Linked DNA regions of Schizosaccharomyces pombe. The gene in region 1 interacts genetically with each later gene. Each region holds a gene or a part of one and is shown on either strand. Other genes may lie near its edges.

What was found. Genes that interact genetically often act in the same process or in processes that back each other up.
Region 2: mutations in rad1 (region 1) and fml1 together harm fitness more than expected from each alone (negative genetic interaction), as found in Schizosaccharomyces pombe (2 studies listed by BioGRID).
Region 3: mutations in rad1 (region 1) and dcn1 together harm fitness more than expected from each alone (negative genetic interaction), as found in Schizosaccharomyces pombe (2 studies listed by BioGRID).

What each region holds. Positions count from the first base shown.
Region 1 is NC_003424.3:4,975,314-4,981,858, forward strand, and holds rad1 (checkpoint clamp complex protein Rad1), read left to right. Parts: upstream 1-3,264; 5' UTR 3,265-3,305; coding exon 3,306-3,441; exon of another isoform or gene 3,442-3,567; coding exon 3,568-3,808; exon of another isoform or gene 3,809-3,851; coding exon 3,852-4,446; 3' UTR 4,447-4,825; downstream 4,826-6,545. Other genes in the region: SAGA complex histone acetyltransferase catalytic subunit Gcn5, read left to right, coding at 1-167; SPOM_SPAC1952.06C (uncharacterized protein), read right to left, coding at 433-2,127; SPOM_SPAC1952.08C (pyridoxamine 5'-phosphate oxidase), read right to left, coding at 4,826-5,173, 5,249-5,473; ach1 (acetyl-CoA hydrolase), read right to left, coding at 6,021-6,545. UniProt on the Schizosaccharomyces pombe protein: Recombinational reparation of DNA damages induced by UV and gamma radiation.
Region 2 is NC_003424.3:1,467,851-1,477,024, reverse strand, and holds fml1 (ATP-dependent 3' to 5' DNA helicase), read right to left. Parts: upstream 6,192-9,174; 5' UTR 5,966-6,191; coding exon 4,517-5,965; intron 4,472-4,516; coding exon 3,642-4,471; exon of another isoform or gene 3,586-3,641; coding exon 3,360-3,585; 3' UTR 3,334-3,359; coding exon of another isoform or gene 3,140-3,333; 3' UTR 3,087-3,139; coding exon of another isoform or gene 2,920-3,086; 3' UTR 2,873-2,919; coding exon of another isoform or gene 2,813-2,872; 3' UTR 2,762-2,812; coding exon of another isoform or gene 2,684-2,761; 3' UTR 2,645-2,683; coding exon of another isoform or gene 2,621-2,644; 3' UTR 2,566-2,620; coding exon of another isoform or gene 2,486-2,565; 3' UTR 2,117-2,485; coding exon of another isoform or gene 1,976-2,116; 3' UTR 1,926-1,975; coding exon of another isoform or gene 1,126-1,925; 3' UTR 1,078-1,125; coding exon of another isoform or gene 918-1,077; 3' UTR 750-917; downstream 1-749. Other genes in the region: SPOM_SPAC9.07C (GTPase Rbg1), read left to right, coding at 918-1,077, 1,126-1,925, 1,976-2,116; SPOM_SPAC9.06C (5'-methylthioribulose-1-phosphate dehydratase), read left to right, coding at 2,486-2,565, 2,621-2,644, 2,684-2,761, 2,813-2,872, 2,920-3,086, 3,140-3,333; Tf2-1 (retrotransposable element/transposon Tf2-type), read right to left, coding at 7,177-9,174. UniProt on the Schizosaccharomyces pombe protein: ATP-dependent DNA helicase involved in DNA damage repair by homologous recombination and in genome maintenance. Capable of unwinding D-loops. Plays a role in limiting crossover recombination during mitotic DNA double-strand break (DSB) repair.
Region 3 is NC_003423.3:598,530-603,611, forward strand, and holds dcn1 (neddylation protein Dcn1), read right to left. Parts: upstream 1,931-5,082; 5' UTR 1,655-1,930; coding exon 899-1,654; 3' UTR 750-898; downstream 1-749. Other genes in the region: aly1 (arrestin-related trafficking adapter), read left to right, coding at 1-596; rpl803 (60S ribosomal protein uL2), read left to right, coding at 2,752-3,513; protein new14, read left to right, coding at 4,785-5,027.

The DNA.
Region 1 (6,545 bases):
ACCAGTATGAGTCTGTAGAGGAATTTATTCGGGATGCAAAATATATATTTGATAATTGCCGTTCTTACAATGACTCCAACACGACTTACTATAAAAATGCCGATAGATTGGAAAAGTTTTTCCAGAAAAAACTTCGTGAAACTGAGTATTCACACTTAGCCGATTAATCATTTACATTTATTATCATCGAAACGTCTATTCCGAAGTTTTATTGATTATAACATATACATTTCACCTTTTAATTTTTTACACGAATATCTTTTGTGCCTTCCAAATATGCTGGCATATCAAGAACTGCTAGTGTTTAATTTTTAGTTTTTTTGTTTAAAAATATATATAATTCTATAATACCAAACACTCTTTATGTTCCATAATAACAAATGTACAACTCATTAAATTGAAAATATGTTATCAGAACAAGTCATGATTTTATTACACAGATGCTTGCATAGATCCAAGTAAAACAGTAACCATAGGTTTTTCGTCAATTCTGTAGTAAGAGTCGTTGGCCTCCACCTCTTCGGACTCCACCGTCGGTTCTTCAAGGTTTTCATGATAATTTTTTAGAGCATCAGTCAACTCATCAATTGGAATGGATGCTTCGGAAAACAGCATCTTAATTTTTTTCAATGTCACTGTATTTTCAACGCATAACCACGAAAGGATAAGAACTGTAGATTGGAAAGGAAACAGTCCATGATCAATTTGTTGGAGAAACCATTTGGTACTCTTTTCCTCCGAATCAGGACTAAAATCAAGTTTTCTGCTTTGGTCAATACCTTTGAGTTGGATTCTCAAGCGATCGTAAATTTTGAAAAGGCGTTTCATTTTTTCAAAGTCATTTTCAATGAATTTCCGTAAAAAGCGCACCCTTTCTACGGTGTCAGCAGGTAAAGATCGAAATAAAGATGCCAGAATAGCTAATATATGTTCCAGAGTATCGGCTGCAGATATTTTCATAAACGCAGCAAAAATATATTTCAAACCGCCTGCTTCTACAAATCGAATACAATAAGGAGTGGAAAGAGGCCCAAATAAAAGATAGTCCAAAACTTTGATTGTAGAATAACGGCTTTTTCCTTTATGTTTCATATTTAGTATGCATAATTCAATACCTTCCTCTTTTAGAAAAAGGGATTTTCCTTTCGTTTCTTGAACCAGACTACATAAGCAATCAAACACGTTTTCCATCATTTCTTCTTCTGATCCTTGGGTTGGATCACGAAGCCTATAAGGACTGATCCGGCGCAACAAAAGATCAATCCCATTCAAGTTGCACACTTTCAATTTAGCTTCTTTTGAATTAGCGAGAATGATAGCTAAAATTTCAACAGCGTACTGCAAATTAGTTGATATAGAAGTTTCATCAACAGACGATCTACTCAGTAACCATTCTACCAATGTTGTGTTTTCAACTATTATTGAACAAATGCTATTGTCCACAGATAATAAATTCTCCATAAGAGAGAGCACACAATATACTCCATGTCGGTCTTCCTCATTAGATTCGTCAAACCTTTTGATTGTATTTGAAAGCAAAGGAAGCAAACCAGAATCTATAAGGGAAGTAAATAAGGAGTTTAATGCGTCTGGGTCAACATCCTCGTCAGTCAGTTCTATCAATAGCTCCAATACCGTAATAGTAATATCCGCATTTTCATGGTTCATTAATTCTAAAAACGTGGAAACACAATCTAATTTAAGGAAAATGGGTATGAGGATAGGATACTCTGAAAGCACATTGAAGCTTCGAATTTCCAGATCAAGATCTGCCTCTGATTCTATAAACCTTTGAGGAGAAGTAGAATACTTGATGCGTAACTCCTGATTATTATTAATTGTTTTTTCAAGTCGTACTACCATGCGCTTCAATTCAGTAGGAGTCAATGAAGCAGGTTCTTCCTGGGCTTCCTGTTCGTCTAAAAAGTCTAAAACGGTTTTTTCACTCTTTTTAAGCCCACTTCCAAAAAATCTACCTCCTTCCTCGTCAAATTCTTCATTCTCCTCATCGCTATTCTCTTCAGCGAGTCTTCTGCGACTACTAGCTGGCTCCAAAGAGTCTGCTTCCTCAGGGTTCCTTTTCTTATTTGTTTCCTCGGTATTTTTAAAAATTGAATCTACATCCATTTAGAATAATGTATTTTTTATGCGCCAGTTTCCTTTTCAAATTGAATATATGAAAACCGTCTGATACAAAATAAATAATTTTGACAAACTTATATTTTATAGCCGCATCAAGTAAAATAAAAGCCTTATGAAAAGACTATCGTGCAATTCAATTATAACGCCTGACTCGTTCCTAAAATTCCTCTCGTTTACCAGTTCAAGTAAAAGCTAGGTAAGATGTAGGCATGTACAAAGTGTATCAAAAGTGAAAACCAGAATCTAAGCTTGGAAAAAAATAATAACAGCAAGTAAATTCCCCTCTGTTTTATAAATATTATACAACTCTTATATCCAAGAAAGGAGAGATTGGAAGAAGGATAAAAAGTGTTTATTTAAGAGAAGAGAAGCTAAATAAAGTGCATGCAGTTAACTCGAAATTTTTTAGGTTGATTAAATAAGGAAGAAATTAGATCCATCTTGTATTACCTTTCTTTTAATTGTAGCAATGACTTTTCAAAAGAGGGTGTAAAAATGACATCCTAACTGTATATATGATAAAATTACAATTATGGATTTTCTAAAGCAATTTAAATTTAGCTATTATCACTAAAACAGTTCGGCAATTTGCAATATTTGTCTAATAAATGAACCATTTGTTTCATAAACAATCAAATTCATTAAGCTACAAATCCTTAATTGTATCTTTAGTTTTGAGTCAATCAACTTACTGGGATCCTATAGCTTTTTTGAATATCATTTGGTAAATTCAAATATGGCTCTTAAAACTTGTATTTAATTTGATAAAATTTCTGTGTCGAGAGATAAATAAATAAAGACAGTTAGAAGTAGATGCTATTCAATTAATAAATAAAATACTCGTCTATTAAGCTTTACGGCTTTCCAAAAATTTATATATCAGAATAAAATATTTCACAATTTTTTTTTTTTTAAAAAAGAAAAAGCAATCTCAATTTTCATTTCCTTTAGTAATCTGCATACCTTTTAAAATTGTGCACCTTTTCGAATTTTACTAAATAACTTCTAACTTGAACTGTCTTTCTTATTCTGCGTTTGGTCTTGTAATCAAGTGTCAAGTCCTTTAATATCAGAAGGAAAAATTATCAATTTATAAGATTAGCATTTACGGGTGTTCAAGTTGTAGCATATAACCAATTTTTTATTGTTGGACGTAAATTCGCATGTTTCAAGCAGAAACAGTATGCTTAAAGCAGATTCAGTCAACATTACGATGCATTGATTTTTCAAAGGAATGTACTATCGAAATCACAAGTCGTGGACTACGGTTTGCAGTGGAGGAATCGCAGTCTTTGCAGGGTAAGACAAGTCGAGTCTCACATCTATGATCGTTAAAAAATTTGAAGCTACTTAATAAAGTTTCATATATTAATGCGATTCTTGAAATGCATTCACTTTTTCTTTATTGTTCACTCACACATTAAGCTCACGCCTTTCTTGATAAGTCGTTGTTTCAAACGTTTAATTTTCAGGGTGATTCAGATGGGGATACATATATGTTCCAGACGATGATTTCACCTCTTTTACAATCATTATCAATTTATACAGATGGAAAAGAACGGATTTCAACTAGTGCCTGGGATCAACCCACTGTAAACATAATGCACAAACGAGGCGTTATCTGCAAAGTACAGTATAATGGACCCGGCTGTCCATTTATATGGGAGTAAGGATTTTATCATTAACATTCTGTACTGACAAAAATAAAGAGTAGAGGAAATGGCTGGTTATGCTACGGCTTGTGAACTGTTGACTATGGAATGTGAGGACGACGTTGACATCAATAGACTTGCAAGCACATTGTGCACGAAGATCATTATGAAAAGTAACTGGCTATATGATGCCTTGGTGGAATTAGACAATAACATGGGCGAAAATTTAATTATTCATACATCATCCCAAAAATCAACCTTCTTATTGAGATGTGTAGGGGCATTATCCACTACGGAAATAGAATATCCAAACGAGAAAAGTGTTTTAGAGTCTTTTGAAACTGATTCTGAAAACACTTATTCCTACCGCTTCTCATTAATAAGACATGCGCTGAAAGCATTACAAGTGGGTTCTAAAGTAAACCTACGTATTGATGAAAATGGAACTTTGAGCATTCAAATCATGCTTGTCGGTCAAGAAGGGCTTTGTACGTTTGTAGACTTTTGTATTGTTCCTTTGGACCTTGTAAGTGAAGATGAGGAGGAGGATGAAGAAGAAGAACCAGCAGAATCTAATCAGTCGGACAATAACGTTTTACGAAACGATCCGAATTATCGAGGAGATGCGGAGACCGAGGATGAGGATAGCTAAATGATAATTTTAGCACTCAGCACTTTAGTGTTTCCGATAACTTCAAAAAAAGAAAAAGGTACAATTGATACTGAACAACTTATGATAATACACTTATTCAACGAATCATGATTTATTTCCCTGCTTTTTGTTTGGTCTTATTTAGGTAGCTTAAAGTCACACCGTTTCCTCACTTTTTCTATGCTTATTTAACACACGTATAAACAAGACGCTTTCCACTAGGCTGTCTAGCAAAGCATGTAGCCAACAAAATTCCCATGTATCATACACACGATTATACATTATGGTTAGATCTACGAAGCATTCAAAAATTCTTCAAACATTATTGATTTTTAAAAAATAGAAAATGCAAAGTGACACTCATAAAACATTTGTTTACTCAAAATGGAGTCTCATCTCCTCTTGCATTCCATTTTTGGACGTTGTTGAGTCTCTGATCACAAATTCTCGCACTTTCCAACTTTATCTTGATAATTCTCATATCCTCACCCTCCACGTATTGTTTCGTATTACCCTTGTCATTAGTGTTTAAATGCTTTTCTCTAAAGAATTCCTCTTCTTTGCTATTCTTTGGAAGAACGGTAGCAAGGCCATTCAAGGTCACTGATGTATTCGAGAACTGAGCCTGATTCATTTTATAAAGTAAGGTGTACAATGAGGAGGCATCAGGATCTGTTTCTTGACGATTAGTGGTCCAGTCATGAACTAGTAATGATACTCGAGGATTCTAGTCATCATGTTAGAAAAAAGAAAATACCAATCAGGATCAAGGATAAGTTAAACTTTTAAATATGATACATACCGAACTGATGTTAAAATATTTTTTACTGTTTTCTCCTGTTGACAAAATAATGCAATCCTCCACTTCGTAAGGGGCAGCGCTTCCTGCAGGTAAATAGGTAAATGTCATCAAAGAAGAGTGAGGCTGATCATGAAAGCAAGTAGCTAGTTGAATATATTTGGATGAGGACAAGCATCTCTTGATTTGGCTGGGGAACTCATGAGATGAATCGACTTTTGAGGCCATATTTACTTTCAGGTTATTGTGGTGCGACAAAGATTATAATTTGCAGAATAAATACTGGTGAATGGAAACTATTGATCCAGACAAAACTGTACGATAATTTCTATACTTGATTATCCTTTCCTAAATTTTGGTGGTACTCCTCTCTGAGTAAGCAGGTTTGATACTAGGTTAATAGCAGAAATGCTGACTCACAACTCAACGTAATATAGAGGTATGTACTAAACAGCCAACTTACGAATTTTGCAGGGGAACTAAAGATTAATAATCTTCAAAGGAATACTGCTCATAAAATAAACGCGCTCATTTCTGTGTATCTTGGAAAATTCATACGCATTATGATTGTTGGATTTACTTACTCAAAACTAATTTCCTTAACTTATAAACACTAATTTTAGTATACGGATTTTTTTTATTTCGTAAATTAAATTAATGTAAAAATGAAATACATTAAGTCATAACAGCACGAAGAAGCTGTATTTTAGTCGTAACAAGGTTTTGGAAAACCCTTAGAAAGAGTAAAAGTGGCTATAACAACTGATAACTAAATTTACCAATGATCGATCTTCATCGTTCCTTTTTCTAAAAGGTTGAGCTGCATCTTGAAAGCATTGGCAAGAATATGGGGTTCATGACCAGCTCCTCTAGCTAAACAGTAGTTTTCGGCAATATCGAAATACTCTCTGAGCAGAGGCTTATAGTCAGGATGAGCACACTTGTCAATAACCTCACGAGCACGTTCGGTAGGAGACAAGCCTCGTAAATCAGCCAATCCTTGCTCTGTAACCAAAATATCCAAATCATGTTCGGTTTGGTCAACATGGGTAGCCATAGGAACAATACAAGTGATACCAGTAGGATCCTTCTTCGAAGGACGAACCGATGGTGTATGCATAATACTTAATTTCGCATTACGCAAGAAATCAGCAGAACCACCTAAACCGTTCAACATTCTGCTTCCCAAAACATTTGTACTATTGGCATGAGCGTAAATATCGGCTTCCACAGGAGTATTCATAGCGATGCAACCAAGACGGCGGATAATTTCAGGGTGATTGGAAATTACTTGAGGGCG
Region 2 (9,174 bases), 3.5 Mb from region 1:
AACCGTTTCCCTCTTCTCATCTACTTTTCCTGTTCCGATCAGTTATGTTGCTTACAATATTGTACATAGAAAAATTAATGATACATATGTATCTTCTGCAGATTTATACATATTCAGCATATTCGCTTTCGTTAATATTAATATAATTTTCGCGCACAAAACGCTGGGGCTTTTTGAGTTATCAACAATACCACTATATCAACGAGGTTATTGTTGCCGGTAAAAATGTTTTTGTAGTTTCTACTATGTGTTCTTATATTTTGTATTTAGGCTATTGGGGATAATTGCTCATCCGTCTACTGTTTATACGCAACAGCCGCAGATATTTTTTATTTATTTAATTTTTAATTATTACCCTGACCCGATAATTAACCTTGTTAACTGACATTATCTTCAACCCCTGAATAATAATTCATTTGCCGTTGACTTAGAACATACTAAATTTATTTATTTCTTTTTTTATTTATCAAAAAATACTGTTAATCCAAGCTTTTGCGCAATCAGCAACTACTTTTTTGCAATCTTATTTATTTAATATTTGCATTAAAATTGTGTAAGAAAAACAAAACAAAATTATCAACTTTTTATATACATACATATTTTATATTGATCTAACGCATAAAAAAAGACACGCAAAAGAAAAAAGATTTATTTATGAAATTCTATTGAATAACTGGATTCAATATTTCACATATTTTTTTATTTACTTACAACAAGGAACAAATATCGAGATCCAACGTGATATTCTACCTGGTATCTTAATAATAGTTTGGCTGTTGTAATGTGGTTTAATACACTAATATAAAATAAAGAGGGTTGCTTAGCACTCAATAATGCAAAAGATCTTATACGTACTTAGTTATAGAATTTTCTTTTCACCATTTTCATAGCATTTTCATATATAATAAAAAAACAAAATGGCGACTACGGCGCAAAAAATAAAAGAAGTTGAAGATGAAATGGCCAAAACCCAAAAAAATAAAGCTACGGCTAAGCACTTGGGAATGTTAAAGGCCAAGCTTGCAAAATTGAAACGTGAATTGATCACCCCTACCGGTGGAGGAGGTGGTGGAGGGCGTATGTACTGAACGTCAAATTTTTGTTTGGAGTACTAATCTTTCTTAGTTGGTTTCGATGTTGCTCGTACCGGTATTGGTACTGTAGGTTTCATTGGATTTCCCTCCGTCGGTAAAAGTACACTCATGACTCAGCTTACAGGAACGAGAAGTGAAGCCGCTGCATATGAATTTACAACTTTAACAACGGTTCCGGGTGTTTTGCAATACAATGGTGCAAAAATTCAAATTTTGGATTTGCCTGGTATTATCGAGGGTGCCAAAGATGGTCGTGGTCGTGGTAAACAAGTTATTACTGTTGCACGTACTTGCAACCTTATATTTATTGTTTTGGATGTATTGAAACCAATGTCTCATAAGCGTATTATTGAAGAGGAATTGGAAGGATTTGGTATAAGATTAAATAAGGAACCCCCCAACATTGTATTCAAAAAGAAAGAACGTGGTGGTATCAATATCACCAATACTGTCCCCTTGACTCATATTGATTTGGACGAAATTCGTGCTGTTTGCAGCGAATATCGTGTTAACTCTGCTGACATTGCTTTTCGTTGTGATGCCACCATTGATGATTTGATTGATGTCTTGGAAGGAAATCGCGTTTATATCCCGGCACTTTACGTGTTAAATAAAATTGATTCAATTTCTATTGAAGAACTTGATTTGATTGATCGTATTCCTAACGCCGTACCCATTTGTGGTAACAGGGGTTGGAACATTGACGAACTTAAAGAAACGATGTGGGACTATTTGAATTTGGTTAGAGTCTATACACGCCCTAGAGGTCTTGAACCTGATTACAGCGAACCTGTTATCCTTCGTACTGGCCATTCTACTGTCGAGGATTTTGTAAGTTTTCGAATTGCTTCTGCCGATCTTCGTGTTGCTAACTTCTTTAGTGTAACAATATTCATTCAAGTATCAAATCCCAGTTTAAACATGCTTATGTTTGGGGAAAAAGCGTTCCTTATCCTGGCATGCGTGTTGGTTTATCTCATGTACTGTTGGATGAGGATGTAGTGACGATTGTCAAAAAATAAGTCTTTTTTCCTAACATCTTACTTTCCTTGGTTTCCCAGTATTGGAATATATAGGCCTGAAAACTTATTTAACTGGTTACTCTAATAGGTGGGTTACAATGACTTAAAATTTTAGATGGTAATTTATTTCGTTATTTGTTCAAATTGTTTTTTCTTTAAAGTAAAAGTTTTCGTGTATTATAAGCTTAATGAATGATTGTGTAGAGTGTTTTGTGACATATGTCTTCCTTCAATTACTTTTTAATATCAAATTTGCAAACGCAACTTATGAAACGCTACTCACTTTGCTGAAAGAACCGATCATTAAATAAATCATTTCTGAGTATAGTACGGGAACTTTTAAAGGTTAAAGTTGAAAATTTTAGAAGAATGAGTCTCCAATTAGAGAAAAATTTGATTCTTGAACTTATTCCTCATTTTTACAGTCTTGGATGGATGAAATTTGGCAGGTAGCGTTCAAGACGTTTAATGTTCAGTAATTTTTTAAAGCTAATTGGTATTTAGTGGAAACTTTTGTCTAAAGAACAAGTAATTGTACGGTATTCAAACGATTTTGTTAACATTTAGTGGTTATGCAATTTGCGTTAAGGACAGGGTTCAAAGAGACTTCATAACGGAAAACGATATCGTGACCTTTAATTTAAGGTAAATTATTCATTTGGATCAGCTCCAATTAGTATCTAACCTTTTATACAGCAATCAGTCAGTCACCAAGGATTTAGTCAATTGGGCCTACATTTTCTCATGGGTTTTGAGGTATGCATCATTTTTTCTATTTACAGCAATTTTTAACACATCAAAAGTAATATGGATGCAGTAGCCTGTATATATTCTACTTCAGTCGCTGCAGTCGGAGCATCGATGTATAATGAGAAATTTACTACACAATCTAAGGAAATGATCAAAGGAATTCCAAAGGGAAATCCTTCAGCAGGCTATCTTTGCTGTTTTGATACTCTAGAGGTTCCTAGTAAGTTGTGTTTTCTGTTGGTGTTGACTGGTATCTGAATACTGATTATGTAGTTATCCACAATGGCGATAGTAAAACAATATTAGATGAACTAAAAAAAGTCATCGAGCTTTATCCACAAACATGTGCTGTTCTTATTCGTGGACATGGGGTTATCGGTTGGGGAGCAACATGGGAAAAATCAAAAACTCAAATGGAATGCTACGAATATCTTTTTGAGTTAGACTACAAATTGAAAACGTTGTAGGCTATTTCTAAACACTATTTAATTCTCTAAATCAGCATTCCTTTCATACGTTTCCTTTTCTCTACGAGTTGCTGAAGGCGTTGTTGTCGGTCGTCAAATGGTTTTGTCTTGGATGCTTCTTCATTCCTTGAAGATATAGAAATATTTACATCCGGGAGGTCTTCCTCTAAATTATTGTTGTTGTCATAAAACAGTGTAGACTTGTCGTAAGAAAATGAATTATGTTGTCCTTTCCTTTTCAAAGTTGTCATCCTGTATGTTAATAATCTGTAATTATCGTTAAACAACTCAATAGTTTAAACACTTACGGATTTGGGTGTAAAGGTTGTCTAAAGTCATGCATCTTTGGCTGTTTTGTGTCACGATCCGTCGAGTTGATATTTGATACTTGGAATTGGTTGTTTATTTCTCTTCTCCACTCCTGAGCCTTTTGCGAATCTATAGTATTTAAATGCTTTAAAAATGAATGTATACTTTTCGTAGCTAGAGAATGCGGTATCCGTCCTGTAACACTCAATTGAGATAACCTCCTATTTCTATGAATATCCAAACCTCTTAAGCAAACACGCTTATATTTTTCCAGTTTCTTTTCTTGTTCAATGCTATATGTAACGGGACATATCTCGAACGGTGATTCTTCAGACTTGGCTAAAGCACGTTTCGGTTTACCTAAAGCGGACGCAGTAATAAATCCATTCAAGGCATTTTCTGGCATGAAAAATTTCTTTTTTATTTTCGTTCTCAATTGCACTTTCTTTGGAGCTACTACAACTTCTTCATTTTCTTTGGGAATTTCTATGACTCGTTTATCACAAACCGGGCGAAACTTTTCTGGTAAAATTCTATAACTTTTTTCCGATAGGCTGAGACCGCGACCACTGACAATATTATCTTGCAAAGTTCGATAAGCGTCTTTGGCTCTCTCCCATTTTGCTTCTTCTTTGCCTCGCGTCAAAAGCATATAAATATAACCTTTCCTTTTTCTCCCAGTTCTGCCCATTCTTTGTAACATCCTTATAGGAGAAGCAGATGCATCGTAACATATGATCATGTCTACTTCACCTATGTCCAAACCCTCTTCTCCAATAGAGGTAGCTATTAAAGTATTGACTTCACCTTTTTGAAATTGTTTCACAGTCTAGAGATTAGTTAGTTAAGGATCCATCATTTTCAGATTACATACTTCATTCTGTAATTTTTGAGACATTCCAGCAGCCTTTCTCACAGCAGATTGTCCAATAAAAATAGCTGGTCTCACATTTGGATAAAATTTACCCAAAAATCGTAAAATCTCTTCGGCGCTAGAGCGGATTTCAACAAAAATCATAATTCTGGTATCCTTGGTTTGTTCTTTTTCAAAATATTCTGTAACAATACGTTCCAAATGCTCTAGTTTGGGATGTCCGACAAAAGACTGATCTCGCAACAAAATTTCTATATCGTCCATTAAAGGACGATAATTTTCGTGATTTATTATGCGTTTCTTATAACCTGATCTTCCTACAAAGCATTCTTCTTCTACCTCTCGCAATTTTTGATAAAACGGTCGGATACCATGGTTGAGTAACAAATTTAAAGGATAGGCAAAAGTCGCTAATGCATCAAAAGTATTTAAAATATCCCATTTTTGATTAGCAGGAAAGTTTTGACCAGACATTGCAAGAAAAGCTTGTTTAGCTTGAACCACAGTGAAAGAAGTTATGTCTTTAGCATTCTGAATTCGATAATAATTACCCTTGTTCAATTTTTGAAGCATAGGTTCCAATATAGAAGAAAATCGATCTCTTATATCTGTAATCTCTGCAGACAAATCTACAGGAAAAAAATCCACCTCTTTCTTCTGAACGTATTGCGATATATCAATGCTGTTTTCAGTTCTAATCTCAATCCTGGATATATGAAGAGAATCAATTACATTCTGAATTGCTTCTAACTTATTTCCGGGGGTAGCACTAAGAGCCAGTATACGGAAATTTTTGTTGCTAAGAGAAAGTAGATGAACAACTTCCACATAAGCGTAATTTCCAGTACTACGATGTGCTTCATCAATTACTAAACAAGATATACGAGTCCGATCGCAAATTCCATGCTTGATGTCGTTTAAAATGGTTTGAGGAGTTACGAAGAAAACATTTCGACTTTGATAATACTGATTTCGAGTTGTAACAGGAACGTGTCCACTTAATTCAGCAGTTTGACTCTTTGGAATTCCAGTGATTTTATAGCAAGCTTCCATTTGTTGTGTAACCAATGGTTTAGTAGGAGCCATGAAAACAATGTAACTTTTTGGAAACCAACGAAGATAATTCATCATCACAACGGCTGCAATAAATGTTTTACCTAAACCTGTTGGCAAAGCTACAAGTACATTTTCAAATAAAGCTTTTTGGACAATATTAAACTGATAATCTCGAAAGGAGACGTTTATAGGGTATACCCATTGCTGTGCTGCACTTTCATCTAACTCGTGTTGTAGACGATATCTATTGGAATCGTTGGCATCAAAATATTCATCAACTGAGTATCCATTTAAACCTATCGTGTTATTATGATATTCATTCTCAATTTTATCAACTACTTGGGTGTCCAATTCGTCCCAGTCTTCATCACTACTAAAAGAATCATCGGACATCCTTATCAATGATTTATATTGTTAGCAAAAATTTAGCTGGAATTACTTAAAAACGAATTTTGCTAAGGTACTTCGTTTCGTCAGTCGTCAAATACAACAATTCCATAAGACATTCACTGCAAAGCGTCCTTTATTGTCGGAAGTAATTGTAAAGGACAAGTTTTTTCCCTCAAATGGTTTAAGATACAATTAACTTCATGAGAAAGTAATGAAGTTAATTATGTTTAAAATTACATTGCCAATGTGTATATTCCATGTCTTTTCAGTAACGATTTGTTATAACGAATTATTGCGCGGGTGTAGTATTGTATTAGGGAAGCACCTAATAACCGATATAGAATTCGTATATCATCATAATGGTTTTTGTATATATTCACTATAAGTCGCTCTCTATACGATAAACAAATAACAAGCATAGCCGAACAAATCCTATCAGAAAGACATGTAATGGCTCTTAGATTAAAGAAAATGATTAGCTAGATGAAGTAAAACGAGTTGAAAAGTGTCCGTACATAGACTAATGTTGCTAGAATTCAGGACTTTCTGATGTTTGTACCTTCAAAATTGGACTTTGTTTGTGGTAACATATCACACATCAAGTGAGTAAAAAAACACTCATTTATCGAATAATAGCCATAATCTTTAATCTATCACATAATTTGAAATTTCCTCTTCGAAGAGTTCCTTTGGAAATTCCATAAAGCCATTTAACGTATTTTAAATTTACTGATTCACTAAGTATAAATTAAAGAATTTAAGCACTGCATTAAGTGAAATAGTGATTTTGTTCAAAGGTCATACTTCTATGAAATTGTAAGCTACGCAGTTTGGTATCTGATTTAAGGATACGTAGAACTGCGGTGAGTTTTCCTTGTGATCTATTATATTACAATACACAGGTTGTATAAGTAGCAACTGAGTATAGGTATTGTATTAACTGGGTTATAATGTTACCTATCACTAATATAGCTCATAACTGAACTGAGGAACGAGGTTCAGCAGTAGCTCTATTTATAGTATTCAGATAATATTGATCTTAATAGATTATCATTAAGATCAATCTCCATATCGTATCATACATGGTACGATATATAATTAGAACATGTGACATATAGTGATACTCAACGTAGTGTATTATAGCGTAGTGTAGTATTGCTGACATTGCCCTCCCCAAGATTTTCTATGTAAATCTGAGGATAAGTCATATGTTCTCAGATATTTAGATTATTGTTTTTAATATAATCATTGACAATTGCTTTGTCCGCTTGTAGCGCTGTAGCTAATGTAGTCCATCCTGACATAATAGTACTCGGATTTAGATTCGAAATGTACTTGACATTTAAGTAGAGTACTTGTTCTCTGTTTTTATGTTCTAGGATATGAAGAATTGTTCCAATATCAGACTCATCAATGGTAGCGTAATTGAGTTCTGAATTATGTCGATACTTTTCTAGGTGAGAAACATGAAAAGTAGATGAAAACATGTGCTTGATTGAATCTGGAAGATCCAATTCATAGTTGTTTGGACCCGACTTCTGTAACACATAGAACGGTCCTGCAAAACTAGGTGCTAATTTATTGGATTTATGAAGAAAACCTGTTTTCGTTCTTTTGACCATAACTAGGTCTCCAGGTTGAAATTCTTCAATTTCTTGTATTTTCATATCGAAATACTTTTTCATCTTTATGTTGTTTGTATTCAAGTGTTCTTTAACTGTTTGAAATACTTGGATCGTTTCCTGAGAGTTTTCGTCAGTTTTGTCACTAAAGCTAGGTAACTCTAAAGGTGATAAAGCTGGTGAATAGCGATGTACTATCTCAAAAGGTGTCATTTGAGTTGCTGAATGTATCGCATTGTTGTAAGATTGTTGCACTAGGGATATATGATCTACCCATGTATTTGGATGTGTGCTACATACACATCTTAGTAATTTCTCCACAGTTTGGTTTGTACGCTCAGTTTGTCCATCAGTTTGTGGTCTGTATGGTAACGAAAATTTCATAACGAAATTATATTTATGTGCGAAATCTTTCCACGTTTGGGAAGTAAAAATATGATCATTATCTGCAATGATTTCTTTTGGATTGCCGAAATAAGCAATAACTCGTTGATCAAACATTCGAGCTGTTTGCTCTGCTGTAATGGATTTCGTACAAGGTACTAAGATTGCCATTTTTGAAAATCGGTCAACTACCACGAAAAGTGCATTATAACCAGATGATTCTGGTAAAGCTGTAATAAAATCCATTGATAAAGATTCCCAAGGTCTTTCTGATGGGGGAATTGGTTGTAAAGGTCCATAAGGTTTATGATTCCTAGATTTGTTTATTTGACATGTATGGCAGTTCTGTACATATTCTTGTATTTGTTTTCTTATTCCTTTCCACGTAAATCTACGTAATATAATGTTTGTAAGAAGTTCAATGCCTGGATGAATCAATTTACCTTCTTCATGATACTTTTTAATAATTGTCCTAGTCAGCTGAGTATCATTAGGTAATAAGATTTGGTCTTTACTGTTAATTAGTAAGCCATCTTTGAGTTGGATATTCTCTTCCACTCGTTTGTCTTCATTGTTTAGTAAATTCAACAATTTTGTATCATTCGTATATTCTGTAACCACTTGGTTTTTAAAATCATCGGTTATCGAGATTTGATTAACAAAGTTGATACTATTGTCTTCTGAATCTTTTGGAATTGGTTCTGTTTCGTCAACAATTCTGGATAAGGCATCAGCTATGTGATTTGCTGATCCAGGTCTGTAGTTAATTTCAAAGTTGAAGTCTTGTAAAAATAATTGCCAACGAGCTAAACGTTTGTTTTCAGGCTCGGATTCGTTAGTAATGCGACCAATTAAGTTTCGATGGTCTGTTAAAATTTTGAAAGGTTCGATAGTGGATTCTAAATAGTGTCTCCAATGTTTGAGAGACTTAATGATTGCAAGCATTTCTTTGTCCGATACGCTATAATTTAATTGTGCTTTAGACATCTTTGCTGAATAGTATCCAACAGGATAGTATTTATCATCATCATGTTTTTGAGACAATACGGCTCCTACAGCGACATCTGAAGCATCAGTTTCCAGTAGAATCTTTTTACTGAAATCAAAGTGTCGTAGCACCGGAGGAGAAACTAAACATTGTTTAATGTTTTCTATCGCTTGGGTTTGTGTTGGTGTCCATTTCCAGCGTACATCCTTTTTCAAAAG
Region 3 (5,082 bases), on another chromosome or scaffold:
AGCGAAGATATTATTATTGTCGCCAACGTTCAGTCCGTCGAAAAGAGAAAACCAGACAACTACTTCTGTATGAGCGTAGTGCTCCAAAGAACCAATGTTTGCTCTCCGATTGGAAGCAGGTTAGACCTGATGTTTACGAACTGTCTGATCAGGTACGTATTCCTGGATGTCATGACATGGCTGCCAATATTGTGCATTTCGATACTACGTATCCAAACATTAAAATAACACATACTGTGCGTACAGTACTTCGCTTTTCTTGCGAAAATTCTCCTGAATTAATGGGCTCTGCAAAATATTTGGAAATCTATATTGATTCTCCTGTCCGACTCTTATCTTGCAGATGTTCTGATGGTTCAACTATGCTACCTGCGTATTGTCCTATTATCCCCTCTAGTGAGGTAAATTTTTGCTCAATCGACAACAGAATCATTGCTGGTATGAACAGGGATCTCGCACTTGATTCTGACATTATCGGAAATTCTCCACCATCCTTTGATTCCTGGACCGCTGTCCCGTATCAAGCACCACCTCCAAAGTACGATGATATTTTTCAAAGTGGCAGCAGTCATGATGAAAATCATGATGACAACTAGTATCTATTATTTATCTGTGATTTATTATCTATTTGCATTTTTGTCTTGCCTTGTATATAAACGTTTTTGTTATTATATTTTTTTTCGCACTTGCTATTTCCATTGACTGTTGTACATGTTCTTTTTATAGTTTCATTAATATATTCATTATTTTTCTTATTATTAAACATATGTGTCTCATTACTAAAATGTTTTTAGGGTTAAACTAGCAGCAGTTTGCTGTAGAGAATTATTGGGGTGTAAGAGTTTATTATTTTTTCATTGATGTCATTGAAATCAACTTACAGAAAAGCAGTTATTTGTTAGGAGCTGCTGTTTTTATAACCGTGTTCTCTATAGTAAGACACGAACTCGTCTATGAGGGTTGGCCACGCACCTTCAAAATCATAATTAGAGCAATTGGGATCTGATTTAACAAATACACTAAAATCCCATAATTCATTCCACGTATCCTTTGGCAGAGATTTTTCGATAATAGGGGAAACTTTTAAAAAAGCAATCCAATCATCCAGAAGAGGAAAAGTATCTTTAAGAAGAATCTGGAAAAATTCAATGGCAATGGAAGTGCTTAAAGTCTTCTTTCCTTTATCACATGCAAGCGGGTATGTGTAAATATAAATGGCTTTTTGAAGGGATGCATCTGACCTCCAAACTTGCACTTTTTCTTTTATGGCAAGTTTTAATTGATCAAGGCTAGTTGTTGAGAGATTGAGAGCACCTTCAACAAAACTTTCTCGATGGAATTCTCCCATTCGCGGGGACTTTAGGAAATAAGAAACAAGTAGAGTTTCAGGATCCTCGAGTGAAATGTCTAGCGCCGTAAATAATTGCACCGAGCCATCAAGTTCTATCAAATCTTTATCCTCTTTAGAGGAAAATTGACTGAAAACATTGTTTAATTGCTTTTCCGCCTCTTCTCTAGATTTTTGCTGTATCCATTTCGTGTAGGCCACATCATAATCAAAATTATACTTTTTAAGCCAGCTGAGAGCTGCCTTAGAAGAAGTTGATGTGGCTTTAGAAAATGCTCTAGTCAAAGATACGGTATCCGGTTTCATAGGTTTTTGATTGCTATTGTATATACACTTAACTGGTAAAAGTAGCTGTATAAGTTTTTGAGAAATAAACAGACTGAATTTAGCAAAAATGTAAAATTTGAGCACAACCGGTTGACCAGATTTTCGAAAAAGGGAGACAATAATCAATTTTAACACCGTCAAACAGATTTGTATCTTGAGAGAAAACACAATCCACGGCTAACACAGAAAATGAGTATTATACGGAACAAAAGAGTTGAGTTAGTAATTTGGTTTTATATGCTTAAGCTGAGAGTTAGCGAATGGAAGTACAAGCAGCAATTAAGTGATTGTCTGTAGATAACTATTGGTGTATGTACAAAAACATCTGAAAACGGAAATAGTTAGTTTAAAATCTATAGTTTCACAAGTCTACTTTAAATGTTATTTTTCGAAATTCTTACCTTTTAAATGTACTTATTTACTATTACGTTGCATTTTCATATCAGTACAAAATTGTCCAACTCAATTTTTTTTTTAAGATTTATGGGTCAAACATAAACGATGCGAAAATTTGTGTTTTTTTATTGAAAGAAAAAAAGAAAATTTCGGTGTACTCACTCTCTTTCCAAAGTTAGTTTACCAAGAAAACTTCTCAACTTCAACAGAATGGTACATGCTCATATCGGCTGAAAAAAAAATATATTTTCTTAACTAATTCATATTCATAAGATTCAAATGTTTTCGTAACTACAATATCGTTCTGTATACTCTGTTATTGTTGCAATTTCTCAAGTTTGTAAAATTTGTTTAGAAACGTAAATTCGTTCCTCAGTCTGATTTTCCTCGTAATAATTAAGTTCTTAACCTTCTATTACTATAGTTTAGTATAGATAGCATAAAATTGCATTTAAACGAATAAACTCAACAATATATCAAAATATTGCAATTATTTTCAATTGCTCTGTCACCTCTTTATTCCGATATATTTGGAGTTTGCAATAAATCAACAGGGATATTGTTTTCGAATGTTTCAGTAACCCTACCCTGGTCGTTAAAGCAGTCACATGTACACTGTTTATCATCCAAACATACTGTTGAAGGTCCGTTAGGAAGTTTTCTATCGCCATCTAACAACCATGGGACGTGTTATTAGAGCTCAAAGAAAGAGTGGTGGAATTTTCCAAGCTCATACCCGTCTTCGTAAGGGTGCTGCTCAGCTCCGTACTTTGGACTTTGCTGAACGCCATGGTTATATTCGTGGTGTCGTCCAAAAGATCATTCATGATCCTGGTCGTGGCGCTCCTTTGGCTAAGGTTGCCTTTCGTAACCCTTATCATTACAGAACCGATGTTGAGACCTTTGTTGCAACTGAGGGTATGTACACGGGCCAATTTGTCTACTGCGGTAAGAACGCTGCTTTGACTGTTGGTAATGTGCTGCCTGTTGGTGAAATGCCTGAGGGTACCATCATTTCAAACGTTGAGGAAAAGGCTGGTGACCGTGGTGCATTGGGTCGTTCTTCGGGTAACTATGTTATCATTGTCGGTCATGATGTTGACACTGGCAAGACCCGTGTCAAGTTGCCCTCTGGTGCTAAGAAGGTTGTCCCTTCTTCTGCCCGTGGTGTTGTCGGTATTGTTGCTGGTGGTGGACGTATTGATAAGCCTTTACTCAAGGCTGGACGTGCATTCCACAAGTACCGTGTCAAACGCAACTGCTGGCCTCGTACTCGTGGTGTCGCTATGAATCCTGTTGATCACCCTCATGGTGGTGGTAACCATCAACACGTTGGTCATTCTACCACTGTTCCTCGTCAATCTGCTCCTGGTCAAAAGGTCGGTCTTATTGCCGCCCGCAGAACAGGTCTTTTGCGTGGTGCTGCTGCTGTCGAAAACTAAGCCATATATTATTCTAGGGCCTTTTAATCTTTCTATAAGGTTTTACACTTTTTCCTTCCTTCCAGTTCTTATTATCTAATTCATCTGGTATCTCATTTTCATACTTCTTTCGCCTCTTAGAATATAGTTGAATTTGTAGAAATCGTAAGCTTTGTGTTTACATTTGCTGTAGTGCCTTGTAACCCTTCAAAGTCCGCTTGAAGTTGAAATAGACGGTTGGATGGTAATAGTCGTATTCAAAGAGAATTGTGATAGTGGTTCTAATTTATTTTATGAATTGTGACTTACATTTACTGAGCATTAAGTGTAAAGATCCATTACTTTACCAAATGAGTTTATTTCTATTTCTTATATAACTCCAATGCGCCTCAAATACTAGTTTGTTCCTAATGGCGATAAGAGTACATGAATGACATCCTAACAGAAATATAAAATTAAATACACTGAACAAGGATACAAATTAATGTTTAAATCATTAAGTATAAAAAAAAAAAAAGTATAGTAAATATTCTAATTGTTTTGCTAGTTAACTTTTGTGCGCTTGGTGTGTGTATTTACGAAATATAAAAATTAAAAAATGAACTCCCACTGCGAGATTCGAACTCGCAACCTTCCGGTTAAAAGCCGGACGCTCTAAGCCGATTGAGCTAAACGGGACTTGTTGGTATGTACAAATAATAATTCTATTTATCCCATTTTCTTTCATAAAATAAGTTTATTTCTAATAAATTTTTTTTATACATTTAAGTATTGTTTTTGTATGTGCATTTTTTATTCATTTGCCTGAAGTAAAAATTTTAAAACCATGTTTATAGTATATGGATTGATGTTCATCAAAAATTAAATTCCGTTTAAAAATTGTTTCGGAAAAATAAAGGGATTGTGTACGATTGCTGTAAATGTTAAAAAGGAATAGCTTATTTATTTTAATAAAACATGCAAAAAATAAAAATAAATAAAAGGGATAGTTGGCTCTGTTTTATTTATGCTCGTATATCTCTTTTATTTTTTAAAAACAGAATATAATAGGTACAAGAGGTTGAGCATGTAAACGATGTCGTAAAGATGTTTTTGGGTAAAAAAAGGGTCATTAATAATAATTTTAATCATGATGAATTTCCTTGGAAATTAGACATTCATCTGCCACTGTTTGACATGTTGCTGTGTTGATAAAAATTCATTTAAGGACAATTGATACGTTTTAGAAATGAAAATGTTTATTGCACAAACAAAAATATAATGAAAATGTTTATTGCACAAACACAAAATAAATGCAAAAAAAAGAAAAAATCATTGAAAACTTAGAGAAAGCAGGTAACACATTTCATTTAATTATTAAATGTAATACTATTGCACGGATACTAAAAAATTTATCAACATATGCTATATTACTCAATTCCAACATATTAGAAGAACATGTTGATCTGCTTCTTATATATCTCTCTACTCAAAGAATGTGGAAGCTAAATAACTTAAAAAAAACACTGCAATATAAGGGAAGCAAAAAAAAATAGCCTTACAATACGATGAAATTTAAATACAAAAAATTCGCATTGAATAGTATTTTAA